Linked DNA regions of Xenopus tropicalis. The protein of the gene in region 2 purifies or fractionates together with the protein of the main gene of each other region. This does not show direct contact. Links are inferred from orthologs where the notes say so. Each region holds a gene or a part of one and is shown on either strand. Other genes may lie near its edges.

Region 1 (3,270 bases), on a different chromosome or scaffold from region 2:
CTAGGCTGACACTCCTGATACAGTTATTTGTCACTAATCTCACTATTGGTCATGTTAAGCTGGTCACAGACCCCAGTTATGGGATGTCTGTCCCATGATTAGCCCACGCCTCCTATTGGCATCTTATGAAGGAATAATGATACTTCTGAAGGACTAGAAATGAGAAGGAAAACTGCAACCAGAAAAGAACAAGAATGGTTTATGCAAGTCTGGTGGCAAGTGGCAAGCTGGGCTCCAACGTCACAGAAGCTAGGACACAACAAAGCAAAATGACCATAATTACATAAAATATTACTTAAAAATATTTCCTTTTGCTACATATAAACGGGAAATCAAAACTACAGCATGAAAGTATACCATACCATGATGAATCAGGATAACAGGCTTACCTAAAGCATCTCTTGCAGTACAGATCATCATCACAGTCATGACACCTCAAAATAGCATCCTCATTACAAATGCAACACCATGGCAGCTCCTCTTCATCACTGTCAGCCTCTCTGGGAGTTGTTCTTGCAGCTGGAGGTTGGCTTTTTGTGGTGACCTTGAAAAGGGCAAATGAAACACTTGGCACCAGCTTTTAGATTTAACTATACAGTTTCACTGCTGAACTTTGGAAGCTGAGGATGGTGGGAGCTGCTAGTTTAGCTATATGTGTAGAATGAGAGAGGAACTAAGGAGCAGGTTATTAGAGGTGCATAGCGAGTATCGGTGAGTATCTGGGGATCAGAGTTCAGAGATGTATAGTGAGACACAAACTGCTCTGAATGTGAGGATCGTTCATTTGATATTCTAAATCAGTGCTGTCCAACTTCTGTTGTAACGAGGGCCGGAATTTTTCCGACCTACGTGGTGGAGGGCCGATAATGGAAGCCAGTTTTGACCACTCCCCTTTTTGAAACCGCACCTACTTGAAACCACACCCATGTTATCACATGGCCATACCCATATTAATGGTTGTAGTACAGCAAAAACCTGCCATACTCTGCCTGCCCTACCCTGCCTGTGTGTGCCATACTCTGCCTTCCCTACCCTGCCTGTGTGTGCCATACTCTGCCTTCCCTACCCTGCCTGTGTATGCCATACTCTGCCTTCCCTACCCTGCCTGTGTGTGCCATACTCTGCCTTCCCTACCCTGCCTGTGTATGCCATACTCTGCCTTCCCTACCCTGCCTGTGTGTGCCATACTCTGCCTTCCCTACCCTGCCTGTGTGTGCCATACTCTGCCTTCCCTACCCTGCCTGTGTGTGCCATACTCTGCCTTCCCTACCCTGCCTGTGTGTGCCATACTCTGCCTTCCCTACCCTGCCTGCGTGCCATACTCTGCCTTCCCTACCCTGCCTGTGTGTGCCATACTTTCACTGTGTTTGCCATTCTTGGCTGGTTTGTGCCATACTTGGCCTGTGTGTGCCATACTCTGCCTGTGTGTGCCATACTCTGCCTTCCCTACCCTGTCTGTGTGTGCAATACTCTGCTTGCCCTATGATGCCTGTGTGTATGGCACAATGCTGGCACTGCTCCTACAGTCTGCACAATAACTATATATTAAAAACTTTTTAATTGCAGTACCACCTCAGTATATGTCCTTTTTGTAGTGTGCAGGGTGTATTTGTGGGTTTCTACTGCTCCTGAGGTGTGAACAGGGGAACAATATGGGTGATTACAGCCTGAGCCTGAGGTGTGAACACTGCAGGGGGGAACAATGCAGAGATTAAAAGGTGTGAACAACACAGGGAATTACATATTTAAACAATACAGCCTGATTGCAGCCTGAATCTGAGGTGATAACCATGCAGGGGGGCAGTTAATCACAGTACTGATACCATTTAAAGCTTACACAAGAGTAAGCCATCAAAGCAGCCAGACAGGTGGGGGGCCCGCGGGCCGCCAGTTGGACAGCACTGTTCTAAATGGCAGCGGAAGCCAGTGCAGGGATTGGCAGAGGAGGAGAGTTGGCTGAGGTGTATGAGCCTGGCAGAAGTATTCATTATGGACTGGATAATGGGGTTATTAACCACTTGTGGGATGTTATGGGTGTTGGGTTGGGGAAAGATAACCATTTCTGTCTTAGATATGTTTAATTTAAGGTAGCCTTGGGGAATCCAAGTAGAGATAGCAGACAGGCAGAAAGAGACCAGAGTTAAGAGCTCTGGTTTAAGATCAGGAGAGGAGAGATATGAGTGTATATGAGAGATATGAGTAGCATAGTGGTGGCTCTGGAAACTATATGAATCTATTCATTTGCCAAGGAAAGAAGTATAGAGAGGAAATAACAAGGGGTCTAGAACAGAGCCTTGTGGGACCCTGACAGAGAGAGGTAAAGGAGATGGCAGATGCCACTTACACTAGGTCAATATCTACTGATCACATACCTTTCCTTGTAGATGAAGTTTATTACCCACTGGCATGTTTAAGCTGCTGGCTTCTGGTCTGTTTTGATCAGGGGGGATGTTAAAGCCGCTGGCTTCATCTAGAACAACTTCCTCTGAGAGCTGCAACAGAGATCAGAAAAACAGCAGTCTGCTTGTGTTTGTATATACACGAACAATTATTAATAGGGGCTGCCCCCACGTTACACCCAAATTCCTTCTGTTCAGAACTGTGCAGCAATGCAGTCAGAAAGAAAATCAGTTCAGTCAAGATTCTAGCCCAATAAAAATGTCAAGTGAAATATTCCCTGATCTTTCTTGTTTAGCGGTCTCTCTGCAAGGGCAAATTGTTATTTACAGGTTTACATTAATGGGATTCTGTCATGAATTTTATAGTATACTTTTTATTTCTAAATTACACCGTTTACATAGCAAATAATTCACTCTACCATTTAACATTTTATTCTTGTAACAGCAAATGTATTTTTTAGCTGTAATATTGGTGTGTAGGCGCCATCTCAGTGCATTGTGCCTGAGTCTGAGCTTTCAGAAGGAGCCAGCGCTACACATTAGAACTGCTTTCAGGTAACCTATTGTTTCTCCTACTCCCATGTAACTGGAGGAGTCCCAAGCTGGACTTGGATTTCTTACTATTGAGTGCTATTCTGATACCTACTGGGAGCTGCTATCTTGCTCCCTTCCAATTGTTCTCAGCAGTAAAGTGTGACTGAAGTTTATCAGAGCACAGGTCACATGTTTGTGGCACCCTGGAAAATGAATATGGCTAGCCCCATGTGAAATTTCAAAATTAAATGGAAAAATTTTTTTGGAAAAAAAACATGTTTTCCTATGACAGTATTCCTTAAAGTAAATGTTCTCATACCCACCACAATAACATTCA
Region 2 (3,829 bases):
CCTTATTCCTTAGTGTCTAAAACCCAGTAACCTCACTTGTTATTCTAAGAATTATTTAGGATGAAAATGAAGACTACCTTTTAAACAAAGTCCCTCCTTTAATGTGTTCCCCTTGAAAATTAGAGCAGAGGATAAAGGGTCATGCTTTTATTAAGAGCATCATTTTTCTGCTGCTGGGTGGCTGCATTCTCAGTTCCTTAACACACTGTAATAACAAACAAGTTGGGTATTTGTCCTCTCCAATTTACTGTACACTATTATAGAGAATATTTTGGCACTTTGTACATTCTAGTTGGTTTAACTTAAAAAAAAAAAAAAGCAAATAGGTAATAAACAGAATAAGACGTTGCATAACCAATATTCCTACACCTTACCTTCTATGTAAGTAGAATTACATGGAAGACAAAATGCTATTTATAATTAGGACCTGTTTCTAATTTGGGAGTGTAAGCTAAATGTGCACGATGTGAGCAACTGAAAGTATTTTTATTAGTCAGTGCAGCTGGTCTGTATTGCTAGTTTAGCATCACCACAGCAGAGAAAGGACAATAAATAACAAAGATAAAATAATAGAGTTGAAAGTACCCATCACATTACCCTTGCCACCCATCATACATAGTGCTGCAGTGTGTCCTGCATGAGGACAGGACAAAAATGCTTATTTAAAATGGGTCAATGACATCTGTTCCATGTATACACCCTATTTACAAATGAGCACCAGACAGATTATCCACTCAGAAAGAATATATTTACACAGCTCAACATATATACCCAGTAATGCAAAAAAGCAGAAACTGGCAGGGATAGATGCAGAAGGGCAGTAGGAAACCACCTCCACTGTATAATCCCAAAGGGATTGCAGGATAAGGAGTGGCAAAATGTCAGATTATCAATTAGAATAAAAGTCAGTATCATTCAACAGGCAGGCAGATCTCTTCTGTTTCATATGGTCTAGGGTTGGGAAAAGGGAAAGAAAAAAAAAAGAGTCACAAAAGACTGGTGACTGATGGCAAATAAATGTAAACTTCAGAAACAGAAGCATATTGAAGGTAAAATGGATGTGCCCAGGTTTTGAAGACCCTGGGGGAAAATTTAGGAGTCCTGTATATACAGGTGGGCATCTCCAGAGTCGGCAAATCCTTGTGTTGTAACTGGTGGGGGCACTTTGAGATAAGCAAGCGCATAAGGTGTCCAAAAGGCATGCCACCTCACACTGTACTGCACATCATCCCTCCTGGCCAAAGTCTTCTGTAAATTTCTTCACTTTCAGAAGATCATCTGAATTTACTGTTGGTCGAGTAGTAGCCAAAGACCTTAGCATATCAGACTGTGCAAGAAGATAAGAATTAGATTTCACGGTGGGAAATATTGCTTATTAATTTAGTAATGTTCAGTCATTACTTACCATACAGACAACAGGCTCTTGTAGTTTATCACTTGGCACCTCCATCCAAGTCATTTCTACTGCCCCTGGGTCTCCAGGAGAGCAAGGTGTTAAGAGATCATCAACAATGATCCCTGGATTTGTGCGTGAGGGACCACGGACCTTTACACAGCAAAAGAAGTAGAATGACTATTTTTCCTAGGGAAAAAAAATACCCTAATGGATTTCTCTGCGTTCACTTACTTTTTTGAAGTGTGTGGCAGATTGCACCTTGCGCACGGGCTGCATAAGAGCATCACGCACAATGATACTAATGTCTGCACCAGAGTAACCGTCAGTTTTCTTGGCAAGCTCACGTATATTCTCTTCGCCCAAACTGTGTGGAGTATTTCCCAAGTGCAGCCGAAACATTTGGGCACGGGCTGCCTCTTCAGGTAGAGGGATGTATATTCTCTTCTCAAACCTAAACCCAAGCAGAATTCAACTCAGTTTATGGTGATATAGAATAGGCATTGCTTTTTATACAATGAGCCTGTTTCTCATCATTAGAAACAGAGAAGTTACTGACGAATTATCAACATTGTACTATTATCCACACATACTCATATTTATGTTAAATATAACATTTTGTGTAATGAAAGCAAATATAATTCTATGCCACATTAATCATGTTTAATTATTTTGAAGTTATTAAATATGCTTTGCATATTTTGCATAACATTTGTGTATACCTCTCCTTTAAATATTTAGTACTACCTTACCTTCTTCGAATGGCAGAATCTAGTACCCATGGTATGTTTGTGGCTCCCAAAACAAGTATACCATCATTGTTGTTACCAACACCTGCAAAACAAAGTGGTGCTCAGCAGCTGGCAGACAATAGATGAATTACCTGCATACCTGACAGACTGTAGAACCTAGCACTTGCTGTCTAAAACCCTAAAAGTAGTTAGATAAATAATCCCTATTTATACATCCTTTTTTATTTTTACTATACCAGAATTTTGCACTCTGCTGCACAGCTTTATAAATTCACACGATACTATACTTTGTAGCATGGTGTTAAAGAGGTCAATTGCTGCAATAGAAGCCAGGATTTCAAGGAAAGCATCCCTATTCACAGCAACAGATGTGATAAATGTGAAATGCCAATGTTTAGAACAGCCAACTATTTTTAAATTTTGTCTTAATATTCCTTCCAGGCCACCTGATGTTAGTTGCTCTGAAGCTTCAGCTGTTCTGCTGACCCAAATATAAATAAGACTGCACAGAACAGAACACCATCTTAAGAGAATGAAGATCAAAGAAAAAACCTGGGGGTGGTTCACCATTATTTTCAAAAAGTTTTAGTATGTTTTAAGCAACTTTTCAACTGATCTTTATTATTCGTTATAGTTTTTTTTAATTATCTGCTTCTTCTTCTGACTTTCAAATGGAGGTCACTGATCCCAGTAGCCAAAAACTATTGCTTTGTGAAACTACAGTTTAACTGTTATTGTTACTTTTTAGTACTTATTTTTCTATTTAAGTCCTATTCCTATTCATTTATCAATCTTTCAGATAAGCCACACCCTGGTTGCTAAGGTAATTTGGATCCTAGCAACCAAATATAGCTGCTGAAACTCCAAACGAAAGAGCTGCTGAACAAAACCAGCAATAATTAAACAAAACTACAAATAATTCAAAATGAAGACCAATTGAAATTGCACTGTCTAAGAATATTACTCTACATAATACTAAAGGTTAACAACACCTTTAAGGGACCCATTAATGAAGATACAGCCAAAACTAGTACTGCGATAATTTAAGGCACCCTTTGGCTTAATTGACCCCCTAGTGAAGTGAAGCCTATGAGTACTTTTTTTTTTAATATATTTCCCCTTTTTTAAAATTGGCATGTTTTAAACCTTTTTCACCCCCTGATTTAGGATTGGTTCAATAACTAAGGGCTTTTGCTGAACATATATCTTGCCCATTCTCTTATTTACTTCTTGCTCTAAACGGCACAATTTGAAAATGAAACTAAAGCCACCTTAACAAAAAACCACAGTTATCACATAATTTAAAAAAAAAAAAAAAAAAAAATGGGCAAAACGTATATGTTCAGCATTAACATGATGCTTGCTAAGCAACCTTTAGATGATATCAAAACCATCACACCCTGCTACACATTTTAAGAAAACTGCCTAAGTTTAGAAATAATTGGCTTTAGATAAATAGTTTTGTGTTTTGCTACAATTTTGGGAACAAGGAAGCTTTGTAATAGAGCTTTGGGAATGCTGTAAGGAACGTAATGCTGCTATGGGAACATTGCAGGCAATAAGATGTGCTACGAGGAGTCTGCAACAGTATTGCTGCTATCTTCATCAGCTTCAAATGTATATACTTCAAAAAAACATATGGATGAAATCTAAAAACCGAGAAAGTCAAATCTGTACTACAGCA

The links.
Region 1: the proteins of vps4a (region 2) and zfyve19 purify together in Homo sapiens (affinity purification with mass spectrometry; 3 studies listed by BioGRID and IntAct, counting the BioPlex papers as one, with this or other methods). This does not show direct contact. The link is inferred for Xenopus tropicalis from reciprocal best matches to the Homo sapiens genes VPS4A and ZFYVE19.

What each region holds. Positions count from the first base shown.
Region 1 is NC_030684.2:115,174,012-115,177,281, reverse strand, and holds part of zfyve19 (abscission/NoCut checkpoint regulator), read right to left. Parts: intron 2,493-3,270; coding exon 2,373-2,492; intron 545-2,372; coding exon 390-544; intron 1-389. UniProt on the Homo sapiens protein: Key regulator of abscission step in cytokinesis: part of the cytokinesis checkpoint, a process required to delay abscission to prevent both premature resolution of intercellular chromosome bridges and accumulation of DNA damage.
Region 2 is NC_030680.2:61,134,844-61,138,672, forward strand, and holds the end of vps4a (vacuolar protein sorting-associated protein 4A), read right to left. Parts: intron 2,228-3,829; coding exon 2,146-2,227; intron 1,848-2,145; coding exon 1,628-1,847; intron 1,547-1,627; coding exon 1,406-1,546; intron 1,328-1,405; coding exon 1,226-1,327; 3' UTR 727-1,225; downstream 1-726. UniProt on the Homo sapiens protein: Involved in late steps of the endosomal multivesicular bodies (MVB) pathway. Recognizes membrane-associated ESCRT-III assemblies and catalyzes their disassembly, possibly in combination with membrane fission.